4 linked regions of the Drosophila melanogaster genome follow. The protein of the gene in region 1 interacts with the protein of each later gene in a pairwise test. Each region holds a gene or a part of one and is shown on either strand. Other genes may lie near its edges.

Evidence for each region.
Region 2: the proteins of CG9173 (region 1) and Lst8 interact in a two-hybrid assay, tested with the Drosophila melanogaster proteins (one large-scale study listed by BioGRID).
Region 3: the proteins of CG9173 (region 1) and CSN3 interact in a two-hybrid assay, tested with the Drosophila melanogaster proteins (one large-scale study listed by BioGRID).
Region 4: the proteins of CG9173 (region 1) and E(spl)m7-HLH interact in a two-hybrid assay, tested with the Drosophila melanogaster proteins (one large-scale study listed by BioGRID).

What each region holds. Positions count from the first base shown.
Region 1 is NT_037436.4:1,419,942-1,425,932, reverse strand, and holds CG9173 (uncharacterized protein), read left to right. Parts: upstream 1-2,461; 5' UTR 2,462-2,570; coding exon 2,571-3,872; 3' UTR 3,873-4,734; downstream 4,735-5,991.
Region 2 is NC_004354.4:9,603,654-9,607,476, forward strand, and holds Lst8 (Lst8), read right to left. Parts: upstream 2,317-3,823; 5' UTR 2,223-2,316; coding exon 2,109-2,222; intron 2,053-2,108; coding exon 1,225-2,052; 3' UTR 501-1,224; downstream 1-500. Other genes in the region: Gga (Golgi-localized, gamma-adaptin ear containing, ARF binding protein), read left to right, coding at 1-71, 148-360; LysRS (Lysyl-tRNA synthetase), read right to left, coding at 2,820-2,900, 2,967-3,823. UniProt on the Drosophila melanogaster protein: Subunit of TORC1 and TORC2, which regulate cell growth and survival in response to nutrient and hormonal signals. Essential for TORC2-mediated regulation of cell growth and phosphorylation of Akt1.
Region 3 is NT_037436.4:20,837,672-20,843,936, reverse strand, and holds CSN3 (COP9 signalosome subunit 3), read left to right. Parts: upstream 1-2,360; 5' UTR 2,361-2,472; coding exon 2,473-2,527; intron 2,528-2,640; coding exon 2,641-2,889; intron 2,890-2,948; coding exon 2,949-3,211; intron 3,212-3,269; coding exon 3,270-3,464; intron 3,465-3,535; coding exon 3,536-3,712; intron 3,713-4,039; coding exon 4,040-4,171; intron 4,172-4,230; coding exon 4,231-4,413; intron 4,414-4,471; coding exon 4,472-4,539; intron 4,540-4,596; coding exon 4,597-4,612; 3' UTR 4,613-4,841; downstream 4,842-6,265. Other genes in the region: CG11456 (uncharacterized protein), read right to left, coding at 382-516, 579-956, 1,009-1,534, 1,588-1,886; CG13255 (uncharacterized protein), read right to left, coding at 5,352-5,555. UniProt on the Drosophila melanogaster protein: Component of the COP9 signalosome complex (CSN), a complex involved in various cellular and developmental processes.
Region 4 is NT_033777.3:26,034,705-26,039,721, reverse strand, and holds E(spl)m7-HLH (enhancer of split m7, helix-loop-helix), read right to left. Parts: upstream 2,685-5,017; 5' UTR 2,560-2,684; coding exon 1,999-2,559; 3' UTR 1,703-1,998; downstream 1-1,702. UniProt on the Drosophila melanogaster protein: Participates in the control of cell fate choice by uncommitted neuroectodermal cells in the embryo. Transcriptional repressor. Binds DNA on N-box motifs: 5'-CACNAG-3'.

The sequences.
Region 1 (5,991 bases):
GCATAACTTTCCGGTTTGGAGTCAGCCGTCGTGGGTAACGCCTTCCCGGTGGATTTCGCGGCAGATCGATGGTTGTCCGTTTTGCGGACCTGCACATTCGGTAATGCCTGTCTGGGTGGCGCCACCTGGCTACGCTTTGTCTTTTCTGCCTCAGTCTGTGTGGCAGTACTCCTTGGTGGGGGCTTCTTGTTGATACCCTCCTGTAACTCAATCGCTCTCTTATTGAGCGCCGATAGGTCCACTAGCACGCCCCTATCCTCGCTGGTTACGTGACGCCTAGTCTCGAACGAGGATAGAATGGCGGTGATCTTGGCTTTCATCATGTCCAGGATGCCCTGCAGGTCCTCATTCTGGAGCGTCGTGGTCAGTTCTGGCGAGCGATGCGGCGATCCTGATGGGGACTTCGCTCCCGCCCTTTGGGCCGGCACGCTGATGAAATCCATTGTCTTCAGGCTTGTGGCTGTCGTGGAGACTGTAGTGGCCAGAGTCTCCACCTCCACAGCTGCACTGCAGTCGCTAGCTTTCGGCGGCGGGGGGCCTGCTTGCTCACCTCCCCCTCCCTGGATTTGGGTTCCGACTCCTCTTATAGGGGATCTCGATAGCCTACCACTCCTCCTAAACGGGTCGTTGGGGTCGGGGGCACTGCCCCCCCCTGTTCTGTCCATCAGATATAAAAGGGGGACTTTGGCTTGTTGGTCCCCAGCGCTCCGTGGGAAATAGAACTAGCTTCAGTTCTTAGGTTATATTTCAAATTTTTGTTCAACTTAATTAGTTCAAATTTGAATTTGAATTCGAATTTCGCGCCCAACGAGCGCGCGGCCGAATGACGATCGCACCGCTGATCTGGCAACGCCAGTCTAACCAGCTCGTCGACTGCGAAAGGTTGGCAATGCTATCAGCTGTATTGTCTGATGCAGCTGATCTGATTTATTACCAGTTTACTGGATCACTCGTGAATTCCGGAACGACACCGTGACGCTCAGAAACGCGGCGCAAACCCCAGAGTGGATTTGCAGGTTTATGTTGCAGTTTACGGCTGACCGGACTCGTATATGACGAAATTCGCGCAGCGCAGCAAAAAGACGTGCGAAATACGCGGGACAATGGATGTGTGTGTGTGTGTGTGTGTGTCTATGTGGAAGGTAAACACATGTCTACTTTGAGGCACAGCAAAAAAAAAAAAATATATATGCAAGTGTCGATGATTTAAGTACATTTATAAGTAGTACGAGCAAAATACGAAATCTATAGCTAGATTGCTTCTTACAACTAAAATCAAGTTTATATCTCAAGGATGTGATATTGTAAGAGAATAGAATACGATTTTTCCCAGTGTGACTTCATCTTCAGCTTATTCCTACCCATCTTGGAGCTGCTGCCATTCATTAATCCACATAGAAATGCCAATGGCAGAGTGAGATGTTGATGGTGAGCTGGTACAGATGGAGATGGAGATGGTGAGGTGATGGTGACCAAAGCGAATGCAAACGAAGGCGGCTGAGGCGGCACAACAACAAAGCGGCCAAGAGGCCTATTAGCCACAATAAAGAGGCAGCCTCACCCCCTTTCGAAATCCCCAATGCTCATACCCCTGGAAATTCTATTATGCAGATGAATGGATGGATATGGGACTAACCATCCGACTGCCTAACTGACTGGGTGTTTGTGTGTTTGCCCCGCCAGATGCCATTACAATGTAAACCCAACAAAAGTTCATTCGGTGGACTTGATGCGGGCATGGATGCGGAGACGTCTTCATCTCATCCACGTACTTCTTCTCCACATATCCGAGGCAGCAGCACTTCCAGCCACCGCAGCGGAACAATTGATCAAATATCATAATTTATCAAATGACAATGCAACAGGCGGCGGCCTCTGAACGTTTACGTTCCCGTATTTGCTTGCCCCAATCCCCACACCAAAGACACCGATCTCCAATTCCCAAATCCCCCCAATCCATTCGAAAGCTACAACTTAATTTATTTGAACAATTTAGGTCTGACACAACAGCCATCGTTTGGCTCTGTCGTGTTCTTTGCGCTTATTTATTTCGATGGTCAGTCGGCTCGAATCTATTTAGCATAATTGCAGCTACGATCAGAACCGAGACCCGAGTCCCGAGATAAAATAATGCATTCTTGTGTGGGGTCTGTGTGTAATCCTAGATAGGGCCACCAGTGGGTCAGATAACCAAATTAAAACAGGCTAGGGAAAATATTGGGACAAACCGATTATTGTTCTATTATGGTAAACTTAGCCATGGCATTAGTTCCAATCGAAATGGGAAGTGCATTCTTCATCGAAGATTGTGCATTCAAATCAAATTGTGTGTCAAGTTTGCTCACAAATTGGTAGGTTTATGGATGCCAGATAGGTTGACAATACTTTTGTATTGGTTAGTTTATGAGCTTTCTTTTCATGGAATAGCCAAAGAATTCGATACAGTAGTCTGCGACTATATGGTCCATCAGAAATCTGTGTATAGCATCTACAATTTTTGTGTTTTGTCAAAAGTGAAATTTAAAGTGATACGTTTGCTGTCTCCTTACTTCATCAACAACCAAATTGCAATGGACAATTATGAGAGGGCCAGAAAACTGCAGGAGGAGGCGGGAGTTCCTCCTGGGGGAATCAAGCGGTGCTGCTGCAACTGCAGGAGAAAGCTGGATCCCTACCAACTGTTTGACGATAATGTGGAGGATATAGCCAAGAGCCTGGCGCAGATAATGCTGATCTGTGGCATCAGCACAAGCAAATCCAGCGCTGCCAGGTCGATAATTAAGAGGGCTTTCGTTTACCATGAACGACTGCGCACCAATTGTCCACCAAATCCGGCTACTGACAGTCGCTTGAATCGGGAGGACCTGCTCCAGGCTCTGCGACTGAAGTGCGAAATGGAACCGGTGGAGGCGATGCTCACCTATGCCATCATCAAGCGGGCCTTTAAGGCCTTCTATCACGGCAAGCCACCGGTGACGATCAGCAATCCCATAGTGGATGCGATGGCGGTGCACACCCAATATGCTGCTTGGATGCATGCGGCGCACAAGACATCCAGGATCTTCGACAACTACAAGGCGGCCTTCTTTTGGGCCCACAAGCACTACGAGAGGCAGATCAATCTGGTTTATGCAGCGCTGTATCAACGGATGACTACCAGATCGGATCCCCTCCTGGTGCCGGGCTGTCCTTGCAAGGGCTGTTCCAAGCAGGAAGTTCCCGGACATCCCAAGGCCGGCCAAAGGCAAATGATGAAGATCAAGCTGTCGGAGGGTGCAGATCTACCAGAACCCTGCATCATCTGTGGCTTGCAAGTTCCGCAAATGGATAAGGAGGTCAGGATGAAGAAGCCACCGCGTCCGATCATCAACCATGAGGTTAATCTACCCAGATGCCAGCAGTGCAATTCGCCCTTCCTCATCTGCGAATGCAACATCGATCAGTTGACGGGCGAGCAGTTTGGCGAATGCGGCCAAGACTCCTACAAGGTGAAGTGGTATCGTCTGGAGGAACCAGTGGCCATTTCCCAACCTGTTTCCCAACCGCTTGGCGAAGAGGAGCAAGATACCAGCTATGATGAAGCTGTGGAACCCCCAGAGGACTGGGACAATCACCATTGTCCCATCGACTGCAAGCACGACTCCTGCAGCGAGTCCTCGAATGTTTGCCACAGCACTTCTTCATCTGCATCTTCGGGCAGTGATTTTGCCACCTGTTCCGACGGCGTGGACAAAGAGGAGGATGTTGTGGCCAAGCTGGAGGATTATCTCAACAAACTGTGGGCCGAGGAGGTGGCTCAGAAGAGGAATCCATCGTATGTGCCGCGAACGATTCATCCTCCTGGTCCGAAGTGTATGAAGTGCAACGACTAATTTTGTACGTTTAAATTTTGGCTATATAAATTATTGAGTGATGAAAAGAGAGCTATTGTTGACCCTTAATAGCCAGAAACAAGTAGTCTAAGTACAGAACGTGTTTTCTCACCTCTGCTACCAAGTTTGGTTCAACGAGCTGCCACCATGCCACCATGCCACCATCCGGGCCACCCACTCCCACACCTGGGGAATCGATCGCCCACACGGGAGCCGGCGCTTATCACACGCCCACAGATCGCGTCTTGACAATGGCCACTTAAAATGCCATTGCCGGTTGTAATCGCCACTAAATTGCTGGCACCTCGGCTTATTCGCGGCTGGAGGACGGAATGGGACGTGGCATTCGATGGGATGGAGCTACTGTTGTCATCGCCGGCTGCTCCGCCCAGCAGCTCCCAGGAGCTTCCACATAAATCGCTGCCTTTATCTAAGCACTTGCATCTCGCGCTGGAACAGAGGCTCCTCCAAGCTGCACCACCAGGATGGTGCGGATCCGCGGATTCGGGCCTGTTCACGCTCCTCGCCGCTTATCAATCTCAGCTCATCTGCACGCAGAACAGAACAGAACCGAACTAAACCAAACTGCAACTAAATGGGCAAAAAGAACCCAAGTCGAAGAACATCTTCTGCGAAAAATAATTCCGCAACTTGTCACATTTTGTAAGATTCAAAGTCGCAGAGACAGGCACTAAACTGCAGACGCCTCTGCGCCAGGGATTCTGGGATGGGCCTGCAATGAAAGGAGTCCTTGACTGTCGGGATTTAACTATTTTTATAGGGTATTCGTAGATAAAGGGGCATACTCGAATGTTAACAGCTACATAAATATAATAATTATTAATGGCAACATATTGATCTTAATTTTATAGATGGTTTATTATTGGTTTAGATTTAAAACTTTGACTTTTTATCATTATCATTCCTGTAGTCGAATCACCCGTGTTTACCCTACATATTTTTGGCTAGGCCTAGACTTCACCCTCGAATTGCCGCCTGCATCTCCATCTGCCTGTCGCTGTGGCATGTTAAACTGGAGTCACATTTGCATATAGATTTATTTTTATGTCCACTGCCTTCGGATGGCTCGTGAACTATTTATGTGTGACGACGATCCAATCGCTTGGGGGAGCGATCTTTGGATGGATCCGCGATCGGTTCTTGCCCAAGAGTTGTGCCATTAAGCGATGCCCATTAAATGTTTGGAAATATTGGAATATCTCTAGATAATGCCACGTCTTGCCAAATTTCTAATTATGATATGCTCACATTGAGTTTCTCTATTAGCCCAGTTTTGATGCGTCTATGTCTGTCTTCCCATTCCAAAAAATTTTTTTTTTTGCTTCGGCATGTGTGTGGTAAACAAAGCTCTCACACTCAATTGAGTGCCACTTTTCGGCTTCGGATGAAACTTGGAGGCAACTTGGTGGAGGCAGTTCAAGAGACGCACGAAACCATTGAACTTTTCAATAGCCATCAAATTTGCGTCTAATGCGAACTGAGACTCGGAAAGTTTCCCGCCATCGTCTTTCAATTTGTTATATCCCTGCATTCAATGCGCACTGCAGCCACTCGAAGTTCACTTTGATAGTTCGAAAATCATTTGCACTCGGAAAATGCATTTGAAGTTTATATATATGAAAAGATAAAACATAAGTTTATCAGATGCCCAAGGCAAGCATTAGAACTTTACAAAATTTCTTTGTGTGTACATGCGGCATCTATCTGCTGCATTGTTGTGGGCCTGAAGCTTAATGGTCTTTTTATAGCTGCTCTTTTTCAACTTCAATTAATGAAGTGTCGAGTTGTTAACACCAAAACACACGCCCAGCTCCCAGTGGTGCAGCCTACTCCCACCGATACCCAATCCCCATGGACCGACCTCTATTTCCAAACATTTCGCCCAGCCGCGGGATGGGAACAAACTTCGCCGCGGCTGCAGGTGGGGGGGGCAGCCGAAAATGTAAACAAACAAATTAAAACGAGCATCGACACGGCAGCTGCAGACTTGGCCTCAGGTGAGAAAACGGGCACACGGAGCCGGGAGTTGGGAAAGCGATGGTCGAAGGGGGGTGGAAAATGCATTTTCACGGCAGCGCCAAAAGCAAACAATCCAGAC
Region 2 (3,823 bases), on another chromosome or scaffold:
TTGTGATATCGGCTCAGAACAAGAGTCGCCAGCCAGTGCGCGACTTTCAGTTCGAGGCCAGCGTGAAGAAGGTGAGCGAATCAGAGCTGGAGAAGATTACTGGTCATCGAGGTGACCGGACTAACAAGCTATCATTCTATTCCGCAGCCCTGCAAGGTGCGCCTGTTGACGCCGACGGACAGCCAAATGCCGCCGCACAAGCCCTTCCGCCCGGCCACGCCCATCAACCAGGTGATGCTCCTGCTAAATCCGACAGGCAAGGCCGTGGACGTAACATGCATTGTGGGCTACAAGCTGGGCGACGATCCGGATCCCATCAAGGAATCGATTGTGGCCAAAGGCATTGACTATGTGGACTAAAATACCCCGACATATAAGTATCACCCGCTCCCGTCCACTGAAAGCGCAGGAGGAAAATGAAAAGAACGAAAGACAGTCAATTTTCCCGCATCTATGTTGTGCTCCCCATTATCTTAAAGATACTTTTGGTTTTTCAATTTCTGTATTGTATGTGTATGTACGCTGATAAGATTTTTATTCAAATTGCATTTTGCATACAAACGATTTAGTCGTAATATAATTATGTATCAAAGGTTTATAAATTATGAAAAAGTCGCTACAAAAGCCAAGCGCTCATTTTCAGAGGTATTCTCATTAATCTGTTCAATTGTTGTGTGGATGTTGTTTTAGTTGATGCTTCAGTTCAGTTCAGTTGTCGTGTTGCCCATATATGGATTCATTGCTACTCTCCCCACTGTTTCAAAAAATGCCAAATTATTTGTTCCTGGCGGATTGTCTCGCTGGGTTGGCGGTTTTGCGGATGATTGTACATCTGAGATATTTGTTGATTTAACTGGCTTAAGATAGATCGTAATTAAGTTCGGAAGTGAATTAATGAGCACTGCTGGCAGTTTTTCAAACATTAAGGATATCAATTTTTTTGAGACTATGAATTACCATTTTATATATATGCATCTAATTGGGAAACGTAAGCTGAACTAAAACATTGAGTCTAATTAAGAGTAGAAACTAAAACCGCGATGCTTAACAAACCATTACAATTGCCATTCATTTTGTGTGGACTTAAGCCAGCTAATTGGTAGAATGACTAAAACTAGTAGGCCAATCTTTGGGGAAAGCCAAATGAAAATCCGCCACCAGGAGCCACTTACAAAGTGCCTAGACTCTAGCCGCTAGCTACTACTACTACTACTACAACTACTGCTATTTGCCCACGATCTCGTCCTTGAAGGACAGGGCAGTGATGGCCTTGGTGTGACCAGTATAATCCCTAATCGAACTCTTTGTCTGCAGCTTCCACAGTCGTGCAATGCCGTCGGATGAGGCTGTGAACAGCCATTTAGAATCGGCGCTAAAGGCGGCATCCCACACCCAATAGTTCTCGATGCACAGCTCGCGCCATTTGCTAAAGTCATCCGTCTTCCAAATGCACACAGTGCCATCGCCGGATGTCGTCAGCAGTAGCCTGGAATCGGGACTGAATTTGCAGCGCAGTATGTAGCGAGAGTGGGCCGGAATTTTCCTGTTCGGCCGCAGCGTGCTCATCTTCTGATCCTGACTGGTCAGCGACCAGATGTAGCAGTTGCCCTTGTTATTGGCCGCCGCCAAGTATCTGCCATCCGGCGAGATGGCAACATCCTGAATGGATGCGTCCACCTCGGGCACGATGCGTTCGTGCCGCTCCGACTTGACGTCCCACAGAAAGACGCTGCCATTTTGTGAGCCCATGGCGATCTCCACCTGGTTGGGATGCAAACAGGCGGCATTTACCGGCGCCTCACAATCAAAGATCCGGGAACAGTGTGGCGGTGCGGCAATCATGTCCCAGATCCGCACGTGATGATCCTCGCCGGCGGTGAACATCCAATTGCCGTCCTCTTGGAAGCCAAGTCGCGTCACATTCTTTTGCACGCCATCGAAATTGATCACCGGTGCGGTGCAGTTGGACTCCAGGTCGTACAGCCGGATGCACTGGTATCCGCACGCCGCCAGTCGCGTCTTATCCGGTGTCCTGTCTAGCGCATTCACTTGCTGCAAGTTAAAGCATGTTCGTTAACCGGAAAATGCACGAATCGGTTTATTCCTACCGAGGTCTCCACGAATCTCATCGTCTTAATGCAGTTGCCCGTGTGCGCCTGCCACACCTTAATGGTGTGGTCATAACCACCGGTGGCCAGGATCAGCTGCTGTTGGTCCCCCATCCTGTGATTGCACAGATTAATTGACAATTTCCGCGTTTTTTTGCCCCAATGTTTTCATTTCACCAGACCTATCGGTCCATTGGTCCTCGATACGCGCCTATCGCGCTTATCGATAAGTGGCGCGGTGCTGGTAAGCGCGAAAATATATTCTTATTAGAATAAAACCTAAAGCGCAGCAACAAAATCGTTTTCAAAAAACACTATTAATTGATATCAGTATAATTTTAGGTTTTATTACAAAAATGCGTACTGATTTACATATCAAGTCTTTCTTTTATCCGCATAAATAATCATTAGATTAGATATAACACAAAAATTATGTCAAATCAAAAAAATTTTAACTGAAAAATTTTGATAATTTACGGTACCTGGTTTATATAATCGAGATATTTTCCATATAAAGTATTATAGAATTATCTTAATAATATTTATTATCCCAAAACTCGGACATTAGCAGAAAATAAAAAAAAGAAACTGACGCAGCTTTGGTTATTGGGAAAAATGTTTATTGGTTGAATAACTTAGCAACTGGGATTAGTCCGGGACCAGCGTAACGTACAAGGATTGGGTCTGAGTGGAGTGAGCGGCGTTGGCCATCTACTGCTGTGCGGTGGGAGCAGTTTCCGCTGCCGTGCGGTTGGCATCCTCCGGTTTCATGGCGGGGAACAGCAGAACCTCCTACAAAAAAAAAGAAGCCTCATTTAGCAACGCTTGCAATAAGTTAAAGACCAAGTGTAGACCCACCTTGATGTTGTTGGAGTCCGTGAGGAACATGGCCAGGCGATCGATGCCCATGCCAAAACCACCGGTGGGCGGCAGTCCGTACTCCAGGGACGTGCAGAAGTTCTCGTCGACCAGCTGGGCCTCATCATCGCCGGCCGCCTTGTCGCTGGCCTGCTGCTCGAAACGCTCGCGCTGCACAACCGGATCGTTCAACTCGGTATACGCGTTGCAAATCTCCTTCTTGGCCACAAACAGTTCGAAGCGCTCCGTCAGGCCGGGAATACTGCGATGGTACTTGGCCAGCGGCGACATGATCTGCGGATGCTCACAGATGAACGTTGGATTCACGCAAAACTCCTCGATGAATTCGCCGACGAGCTTGTCCAGCAGGCGGGCAGTGGTGCGCGGAGCTGGGCACTCGACCTGGTGCTTAGCGCACAGCTGAGACAGGAACTGATTCGTCTCTGGCGAATTGAAGGTGTCGGCCGCGGGGAACTTCACCTGCAGCTTCTCTTCCAGCGTTTTGATCATGGATACGCGCTTAAAGGGCGGCGTAAAGTCAAGTTCTTGCTCAGGTCCCTCTGGACCCTCCGGATGATAGATGACCTTGTAGGAGCCACGGATCGCTTTCACCATTCCCGAGACCAACTGCTCGGTGATATCCATAATGTCAGCGTAGTCGGCATACGCCATGTAGAACTCGCACGTGGTGAATTCAGGATTGTGGGTGAGGTCGATGCCCTCGTTGCGGAACTGCCGTCCGATCTCGTACACACGATCGAGTCCACCCACCACCAGCATCTTGTGATACAGCTCCGGAGCAATGCGCATGAACAGATCCATCTTGAGGTCATTGTGATGCGTCACGAAGGGCTTGG
Region 3 (6,265 bases), about 19 Mb from region 1:
ATGATTATCGCTGGCAGAGTAGATTTTTAAATTTTAAATTAGTTTAAAGTAAAGCGTAACTGATAATTAAACGGAACACGGTAAACCAGCATGACTAAATAATTCGAATGTTGAACAAAAAAATCATATCAGATTCTAAAATGATATTAAATTTAAATGGAAAACTGAACAACTTAATAAACAAGCATTTAAATCCCCAAAACAAACTGCATGAGAACATTATTTTATACAAAACTCTTTACAGCGCATTGGACACGCCATATTCAACAAATTGAATTGTACATAAATACATAGGACATAAAAACAAAGTAATCAATAAAAAATGGGAAGTGAATCAACTCAACGCTTACCCCTAATCTATCAACTTAAAATGTTATAATTTTAGTCCTTTAAGTACGTGGGAAATTGAGTATCTTCAGATGGAGGAGCTGGTATGGTTACACCACCCGTATCCAGAGCTGGTTCATGGGGCAATGAATCCACGCTCTCCAACGGCATAAAACAGTCAGCTGAAATCTGCAAAATAAACTGTAGCTTATACAAATGATAAAAGATGATGAGAAGATCAGGGGACATACCTCCCCGTTCTTGTCGCCCACTTTTCGAGGATACTTGAAGCCAGCGGCACGTGCATCCATAGAATCCTCACAATTTGTGATCAAGCCCTGTCGATGATCCTGTTTGTGGGCTCGTAGTCGTTCTACATTAATTGAGGTGAAGCTGCAGATATCACAGCACAAGTCCCTATAGGCTTCGGCATGATTGAGCCGCATGTGGCGCTTAAGAGCATTGGCTTGGATGCAGAAGTAGTCGCACTGACTACATTTCAGGCTGCTCCTTGTGTCCTGGCTATCATGACGCTGCCGATGCTTGTGCAGGACACTGGGATCGCGAGTGGAGAACTTGCATTCGCCACATTGCAGCGGCTTCTCGCCCGTGTGCTGACGCATGTGAATCTGGAAAGAGTATTAGGTAGCAAGAAGATCGTAAAGTGCTATCTGAACTCACTATTAAGCTAGCCTTGCGAGCCGTCTTTTTGCCACACACATTGCAGATAAATGGCTTGATTTTGTTGTGAACAGTCTTCACGTGTTTAGAGAGCGTTTTACCGTTGACAAACTTGCGATTGCAAATCTCGCAAGTCTTCTCGGCATAGTATTTGTTTTTCTTTGACGATGGTGGCAGAGCAGCAGGTTGCGCGGCCATCTCTGCGGACTGTTCCTTGAGCTTTCTTCTCCGCTGAACGGCAGCCAGTGACCGGAGCACCCTGGGTCGCCACTTTTTGTGAACCTGCATGTGGCGCCACACGAGAGCGGATATGGGCGACTTGTAGTTGCATTCGAAAACGGGACACACTAGTAGGTCCACATCCACCTGGTGGGCTTTCCACAGGTGAGCCGAGCACCGCCGCCAGTTGGGCAGTTCCATGCCACATTCGCAGCAGGAAAAACTGCCACCCTTATGGCAACTACAGTGGAGCTCCATTTTGGTAGCATCTTGGAACTTGAAGGGGCATTCCTTTCCAAAGGAGCACCTTTAACAAACGAGTTTGTCAGAAGCTTATGGTAATAATATGGACATACATACGGCTCTAACATGTTGGCCCTTAGCACCAGCCGAAAGTCCTTGAAAGGCATGGGCTGCAGTTCACTTGCCGGGGGTTCCGAGTTCTCCGATCGCTCCACAACGGTTTGCTTATCCTGGCTGTTGCTGCCGGCTGCAGTTTGTTCCTTAGTTGAAGTCTTCGCAGTTTTGTTTTTGACACTGGGCGTTGAGATGGGCTCATAGCCGTGAAAGTAGACGAGATGTCCTCGAAGATCCTCCTGGAGATCATATTGACGAAGGCAGAGACTGCACACATATACGATTCGCGCAGAATTTTCCATTTTATATTAGTTACATTTCGTATTGGGATATTAACAGCAATTCAATAACAGCAACAAAGTGTTATCGAAAATAGTGAGCACTATCGCGGCTGCACTATCGAAATTTGAAATAGTTGTTTTAGAATAATTTTCTTAAAATTTCATAAACTAAATTATAAACATGGCATAACGCTGATTCTAATCGAAATTTGAACTAGTTGTTTTAGAATAATTTTCTTAAAATTTCATAAATTAAATTATAAACATGGCATAACGCTGATTCTAATGGTAAGTGCGCGAATTAAATTTATATAGTATAGAGTACAAAGAAGAGCATCAAGTGTCTTAATCCTTTAATTTTTGTGTGCCTGTTCTAAATTTTTCCAGCTGAGTGATAGTGTTATAAGTTATAGATGGCGCGTTATTACAGAGCCAGTGTAGAACAACGCTGTCTTTAGGCCACTAATCGATAAGAAATCGACAGCACCGAATATTCATCGTTTTATTCCCAGCTCTAATCCGTCGGCAGTCATTTGTTATTTCGCGAAATTATTTTTCGCAGTTTTGCAAGTTAATAGGCCAAAAAGTAGTCTCGGAGTTACCTAAAATGGGCAGCGCGCTGGAAAACTATGTGAATCAAGTGCGCACACTGAGTGCGTCCGGTAAGTTGGCCGACCGGCGAAGAACGATCCTCAAGAAACCGGGCTCGTTGCCGCCTTTGTTTTGATATTAAAGCGATTCGCAACTAACTTTGCTGGCTGGCTTTTCATCACAGGAAGCTATCGGGAGCTGGCCGAGGAGCTGCCGGAGTCGCTGTCGCTGCTAGCCCGCAACTGGAGCATTCTGGACAACGTGCTGGAGACGCTAGACATGCAGCAGCACTCGCTGGGCGTGCTCTATGTGCTCCTGGCCAAACTGCACAGTGCGTCCACCGCGAATCCGGAGCCGGTACAACTTATCCAGCTGATGCGGGACTTTGTGCAGCGCAACAATAACGAGCAGCTGCGCTATGCGGTGTGCGCCTGTGAGACATGAATCTTCTGTTCCAAAAGTACCCTAAAAGTAATCACATATCCCATTCAGTTTACGAAACATGCCATCTGTTTACCGAGTTTGTGGTGCAAAAGAACCTCAGCATCCTGGGCATACGCATCATTTCGCGCGCCATCGACCAGATTCGACAGTTGGAAACCCAGTTAACTCCCATACACGCCGATCTCTGCCTGCTCAGCCTGAAGGCGAAAAACTTCAGTGTGGTGCTGCCGTATCTGGACGCGGACATCACGGACATCTCCACCGTGGCAGCCGAGTGCAAGACGCAACAGCAGCAGCAGTCCCAGCACGCGGTATTCACGGTTGAAAATGAACTTCTGGGCTACTAGAACTCATAGATTAATTTTTTAGGATGCCAACAACGATGCCAAGTACTTCTTGCTGTACTTCTACTACGGCGGCATGATCTACACGGCGGTGAAGAACTACGAGCGTGCGTTGTACTTCTTCGAAGTCTGCATCACCACTCCGGCAATGGCCATGTCGCACATCATGCTGGAGGCCTACAAAAAATTTCTCATGGTTTCACTCATCGTCGAAGGCAAGGTAAGCTGGACAACAATTTAGTTCCGTTTATATATCAGTCTCTCAATCGGAAAATCTTGTGTCGGTTGCAGATAGCGTATATACCAAAAAACACACAGGTCATTGGTCGTTTTATGAAGCCGATGGCCAATCACTACCACGACCTGGTCAATGTGTACGCGAATTCGTCTAGCGAAGAGCTGCGCATTATCATACTCAAGTACAGTGAAGCATTTACGCGTGATAACAATATGGGACTGGCCAAGCAGGCAAGTATTTAAGGGTCATTCCTGGTTCTTTTCTAATCTGTGGCTTCCGTATGTAAAAAGTAAGACGGTATTCGAAAAAAAAATTAAAAACACCCAATTCTTTTCAAGGTTGAACAGTGCTACAAATTGAACTTTTAATTACTCACCGTTTCAAATAAAAAAAAAATAATTAAATTTATGCGGAAGTATAAACATAATATAAACATAAAATTATTTCCGGTGGAAATTAAATTTAGATTTTTCTGTATTCTAAACAACACAGTTTTTTAATAAGATAACTGGCAGAACCATCTAACTATGAAACTTTAATATTGGGTATCCCCTTAGGTGGCTACCTCCTTGTACAAGCGAAACATCCAGCGGCTCACTAAAACCTTCTTGACCCTTTCCCTGAGCGATGTGGCCAGTCGTGTCCAACTTGCCAGCGCAGTCGAAGCAGAGCGTTACATTCTCAACATGGTAAGAAGTTGTCTTCTTTTTTCGTTTTTTATTTATACCGAGATAATACCTAATTGCAGATAAAATCGGGTGAAATATATGCCAGCATCAATCAAAAGGACGGTATGGTGTTGTTCAAAGACGACCCAGAGAAATACAACTCACCGGAGATGTTCCTCAACGTGCAAAATAATATAACACACGTTCTGGATCAAGTTAGGCAGATCAACAAAATGGAGGAGGAGATCATTTTAAATCCAATGGTAGGTTCTATTGTGAGGTTATTGGTTATATGTTATTTGTTTAAATTCCATTTGGCAGTATGTGAAAAAGGCTCTTGGCAGCCAGGATGATGACCTAACGTCGCAGCACCCAAAGACTTTCTCGGGGTGAGATTTGGAATAAAAACGAACCGAGAATTGTTAGTAATGTTTCCTTTGTTACAGTGATCCCACAGATTGATGATACCACTGCCACAGAACCACCAGCAGCCTGCTGCTATCATTTCTACGCTCATCCAATCCCCAACACCGTTTACCAGAACTTGTCGAAGCCGCGAGGCCCTGGGCCCGAAAGCTGACGTCTCTTGCAGTCCGTACTCATTCAGCTACCACAACAACAAACTGCGCTCTTATTGCAAATTTAAAGATGAACATGCTATTTTAAATAAACTATGTATAAATCTATGACTAAGTCAGGGATCCTTATCACGCATTTGATTGACTCACAAATTATACGTCTCGATACTGCAACGATAAGGCTGTTGTGCCTTTTCTACGCATCGTTCGATCAGGCGACGTTTTACTGTCTGGACGGATCGGTTAAGTGCTTTGTACTTGCCCCCAATCTACCTTAATTGCAGTTCAGTTATCGTTCACGTTATTTTATTTACAATATCAATGTACATGTAACCTAACCTTAGGGCAAAAACAAACAATTAAGTGACTAGAGGACCAGCGCGTTTAATGTAGTTAATTTCTACTCGTAAGCCTAGTTTCGTGTATTTATTTACGTCTAGTCTAGTTGCATAGCTTAACATATCAACAGGCGTCTAGGTTGTGTGGTTCGTGCGTGTGGGTGGTCAGCAGCTGTCGTTCGTCGTACATCGCTCCAATCGCCCGAATTAAAACCGGAGCTCTGACATCGGAGACTGAGACTTGAGATTCTCGCGCCTCTCATAGCCAGCTGCGCTGCACCCATCCTAACCGGTCTTCATGGCGTCTAGCTCCATGATGGAGGTCTTCAGCTGCTGTGCCGGAGAAACCAGCCCCGTTGATACCTCGCCGTTGAGACTGCGATACAGCTTGTGGACCACATTGACCAGTATGAAGCACACAATGAGCACCAGCAGCGACATAAAGACGTAGGCCAAGACCAGCGGTGCGTCCGAAATGGGGTCCAGCATGGCGATATGTTTGAATACAGAAATATATATATACCGAGAATATGTCTTGAAAATTTGTTGTGACTTTGTACACTCGCTTTCCGTAAGGAAATGTTAAAGAGTGTAGTCCAGACAGCTCAGGTTCAGGTAAATAGACGGGTCGCAACGCGTATGTAAATTAGCCACTTGAGCATACACATATATAGCATGTATATGATATTCTGGAATTGTGACCGCGTCGGCGTTTCGTGTGTACGTCGCTTGACACCTGCCCGAGAACTGAAACGAGCCGAGAGCGTTAAATGGATGGAACTTTGCTTGGCATTACGTATACGCTTCGTTGCCAGACTGTTGCCGCTGTAGATCTTGCTGTATGTTGTGCGTCCAGTTTTAAGTTTTTGGCTTGGTTCTGATAAGCCCCTTGTGCAATAGAGTCTGTAACTTGGGCCAAGATTAGAAAATCGCCTCCACTTCTTGGAGTTCCCAGCGACTGAGAGCCGCCGCTCTTTACATCTGGCAACTTTTCGGACTCCAGCTTTATTTAGAACTCATGGAGGAATTCCAGTCGCATTCATATTCGCCTCGCAATCAAATCAACAACGCTGCCTTCTTAATTGGCCGCGTCAATAAAGAATGAAATGGCGTCAAACAAATGCTTGGGGTCCCTCGTCTCGTGGAGGTGGCGAGATCTGGTTGGGGGTAGTGATTTCGGCAATTAGGCATGATAGCCA
Region 4 (5,017 bases), on another chromosome or scaffold:
GCCATCTACTCGCTTATTGTTTCATCAATGCCAGCAGACGATGATTGTATAAGCCCCTACTCCTGCTCCGACCTCCGAACTGCGAACTCTGAGATCTCCTCTTTCCGTTCCCACAGTGCCCCGTCGACGAGTGTTTATTGGACACAATTAGTGGATGTGGCATATTGGCTTCGTGCCGGGTCGCCTTGGTTGTTCGATCGTTCCATCGTTTGGGCTGTCTGATCTCGGGTTTTTGGGTGGTTGGCAGGGGGACGTGGGTCAAACGGGCGCAGAAAGTGTGCCCCGCGTGCCACACTCGTGGCCGAGGTTGAGTACTCAATGCCCAGGCTGAGGTGAGGTGGGCCTTGTGCCGGAATGTCTACCTATGGGATGCACATAGTTAACTTCCTGCAACCCCCTAATTGGTAATTAGTAATTTTTCACCGGTTAATTGATGTGCACTTTTCAAATATCTTGTCTTATGGTAAATGTGGTTTGTTCAATGTGTGGCTCATCCTAATAAGATTGTTAAAGTAATCATAGGATACAAAAGTTTTCTTTGAATTTAGTTAATAGGAACTTATAATGTCTGGCGTATCTTTCTAAACCCATTTTTAATTAGCTAATATTAAGTGCTTTTGGTTTCGGAATCTTGGGTTTCGCATGCAAGTATGGTGTATTAGAATTCCATTGAGTAAATTTCACTTTCGAGTTAACTTTTATAAACTCTGTTTCTATTAGGAAACTAATCGACCTCTGACATCGATGCCTACCTATGGGATTTGTGTCCCTCCCTTGCAACCGCCTAGGGTATGCTACTTCCTCACTTAATAATTGAGATGGATTTGTATATCTCCCTTACAAATCTTGAGGGTTCTTAATATTGACATTTTATGGGTGGAAAACAACGTCATTGATTATTGTAATGGGGAGGGATACTCTCACTTCTTATAGTATTTTGGGTGTCAGAGGTTAATAATGTGGTATGAATTTGGAATTGAATACACTTACCTATGATTTTACGTAATGCTATTGCAACCCTCAATATGTGATGTAATTTAATTGATTAATTGTAAAAGAATAAATTTTAAGGGATTAAATATAATAGGGTATAATGTGTGATAAGTAATCGAGACGCGTGCTGAAACTCATTTGTATGTTTCTTGACCATTCTTATTGACCTTTTATTGGTGGAAAAATTATAATGCCGCATTTAAGGTTTATAACAATGTATTGTATTGTGCTAAAGGATGTCAAATACTTTCATTTCATAGTCTGTTGACAAAATAGTTACTGAAATAGAATATAAGTAAACACATCGTGCAAATGAAAAATAACGACCATTAAAAATATGAAATTAAATTCCTTTTTATTATTAAATGCATGCTTGACAACTAAGTGCACATTAGTGGAGCATGTTTTGCTATTATGTTTAACTGTTATTGAAACTTGTTATTAATATAGCTCGTTTAGGATAATGATGGGCTTTAAGATAATGAACATAATTTATGGGAAGTCCATTTTTTTACACGTGTCCTAAATAAGCTAGTGCACACGATCGTTTTATTATATTGGACCTTAAAGTTCGCGCATACCAACATTAAATATTTTCAATGGAATCTTCTTCCTATTGGAATTTAAAGACAAATACTGAAGTTCAATATCCCCTATTGGATTGTGCTGTAAAATAGATTCCCCAAATAATAAGATTCTTGTATAATTTCATTTCATATTTTGATTTGTATTTAAGTTTTTCATTTTGTATCTTTTCATATTGTGTTCTTGAGATCTCTTAGCTGGTAAACATTTGTATATATGTAGAGTAAAAAACAGACTTCTGCTCGATTGATTTAAGACAAAAGTTAATAAAGCGTGCCCTATCACAGACTTAACTTAGAAACCTAAAACTTGGTAACGTAACAAATAAATGAGGATCATTGTAAAGCATTTTTTCTAAAGCTGCGGTTCCAATTGCGTGATTGCCCGTCGGGAATTCAGTCCTTCCAAGTAGATCTTTGTTTACCAGGGACGCCACACCTGTCCGGGGCTGCTGATCTGGAGCAGAGACTCGTTGTCGCTGGCATATCCACTGGAAACGGGACTGATGGAGGAGCAGGAGCTGGCACTGGAGTAGGTGCTGGAGCTAGAGCTGGATCCACAGACGATACTGAGTGGAGTGTTGACGGCTTGCGGTTGTTCCATGGGCTGCTCCAGTTGGTTGAGACGCATGCCCAGATGGGTCATCAGTGTGGTTCCAAAAGCCACATCCACTCGGGGAAGGGAGGCCAGGGCGCGGGACACTTCGTTGGCTGCCCGGATGTATCCAGCACGGAAACTCTGTTCGGGATTGGCCGGAACATGCTTCTTAGACTCTTTCAGCTTGCGGAGATGCTGCACGGTGACTTCCAGGATGTCGGCCTTCTCGAATTTGGCATCGCCAGTCTGAGCAACGCACTCGGCCATCAGATCCTTGAGCTCGTCCAGGCACTTGTTGATCCTGGCACGACGCTTCCGCTCCAGCAAGGGCTTCATCACCTTGCGGTACTGATAGGTTTTCGACATCTCGTATTTGGTGGCCATTGTGTGTTTGTTTTGTTTATTTGTTGCGTTTAGGTAAATGGAAGAACGACTTGTTGAAGAACTTCTTCGATCTTTCGGAGGAGGTTATCCTGAGATGTTGACTGCACGACGATTGCGTTCGAAATGTTGCATTCGTCTCCGGTTACCGCTGCTTTTATAGCTGCACGTGCCGCCGCGAGAGCGTCTCGTGCTCAGCGCACGCTGCTCGGAGAAAGAGAGAAGAGAGAGCTGCGGAGCCTCCGAAGAACCACCACCTGCGGAGCAAACTACTTTTACTCAGTCACTGGGACACGATCCTCTCGCCTGCATTTTCGGTGGTGGGTTTTTCTCCACAAACAAGTTTGGAACACACCTGCGGTAAAAATAGTATGAGAAATGTGTTTAAAGCAGCTATAGTTCTTCGAGCGAATATACAAATTTGTTGTTATATACCTAAGAAGTACGTTACGTTTTTAACAATTACTTCAAATGGGTTTCCCTTAAAGCACTTAAATGTCGTTTTATTAAACAAAAAGAAATTAACATAATGTTATACGTTTACACCTAAAAAATTAAATTAGCACACTTCTTAATAGTAGTGATTTTGAAAATATAAACATTATCTAGAACTTTAAATATGTTCTCAGTACTATTGCTATGGCCACTGGTGTTCGGTGTAAGTGAGTCTCGGCAGGGGATGAAGATGCGATAGTGCAGTGGTGGTGGTGCGACGGTGGTTGCACATGCTGCTTCTCTGTTTTCCTTTCCACTGACATTCGAATCGTGGGAAACACTTTGCCCTCAAGTTTCCCACAAGATTTTTCTCGCTCGTTGGTGTTATAAGTTATAATCGGAGGTAGCCCGTGTGCGAGTCCCGAGTCCGAGCTCCGAGTTCCGAGCCCTTATGCACATGGCACAGTGGGCCAAACCGATGAAACACATGCGGGAATTTTGAGGGTGCCTTGCTTGAATGAATTCTTCAAGGCTTTTCCAACTACGTGAAATTTAAGGTTTACGGAATTTACGCATACTGTTATCTACTTGCTAGACAAAGTTTTAGCAATTTCTGTAGGGATCGTGGGAATGCGAGTTTTGGGATGTCGGAAATGGGGTTTTCCAAGGCGAAGATGTGTGCAATTTTGGGACTCGCAGGTTTGGAAATCAGTATCTTACGGATTTTTTGTTGCCTGTTCTCAACTTGCTACGGTTAATTTGAGAACCTCTATTCAAAGTCGTGGGAATGTGAGTTTTCGAATGTGATTTTTGGGGTTTTACCAAACGGAACATGCGTGCAATTTTACGACTTGCAGGTTTTAGAGTAAGTGTTTATGGATTTCTCGATGTGTTTCTACTTGTAAAGAATTTTTACTAAACTATCTGCTATGTTGGAAAGGTACATTTGTTCCTAGAGGTTTTTCTAGGCATATATAGTCCGAGTATAGGGACTTTTGTGAAAGGTGTTTTCTACTTGCTACGGATAATTTTGTTAGCTGCGACGGTGAGTGGGAACCTGAGTCTTGAAAAACATTAAGGTTCGTGAAGGTTGCAGTTTACAGAATATCTATGTATGGGATTACTGTACCCAGATGGGTGAAATAAAGAAATATTTGGAAAAGATGTTCTTGTCAGGTTATGATGTTTAAAAAATTTCTAAAAAAAGAAACCATTTTGTAGTTTGTAGCTAAAAGCATCTAAAGATTGTGACAAGACCCTAAATTGTTTTCAACCAATTTTCGTTCCATTCGAACCACTGTAAATCTGACCGAGCTGCTAGTGCGAGTCACGGGTAGTGCTGAAAAAACTACCACCTGCCCTTTATTTTATTTAATTTTTTCTTGTCCATCGTGGGCCCTACACATATCGCCCTCTCCCTCGCTCCTGCTCTTGTCAATTATGAATGCTGAATTGTAGCTTCTGTTGAACACTTGGGCCCTGGGTTTCGTTTCGGATGGCATCGGTTGGGATCGTCCATCGCTAAGTGGCATACATATACGCGTATGGTATTCCTGCTCACGTCGGGACATCATCATCGTGGGACCCAGGTCCCAGAAAAAGGGATGATTGTTCGATGGATCGACGAGGGACATGCAAACTAAATGACTGTACGGCAAATTGACACACACTAAAGATTAAATGTATCGCATTCGTTAACTATATAAACAATATACGTGGCCGGTTTGAGGAACGCTGGCTGCGGCAGGAAGTGTGTGTGTGCAGTGCACTGCGTGCTGAGAGTGTGCTGAACAACGGGCCGTTACAATTTTTCTGGCGACTGTGAGAAAATTTCTCGAGCTGCACATGGCCAGCTCCGGGCTTTTGTTGTTGTTTTTTCCACTTTTTATTAAGTAGGGGCAACCATTTGGGCACGCATCGGGGTTGGCTTATTGTCAATGCATCGCTATAATCGCTGCTGCTGCTGGGCAACCGACGTTGCTGGCCGTGTAATTGAATATGTGTGCGCATGCTTGGCACGCCAAAC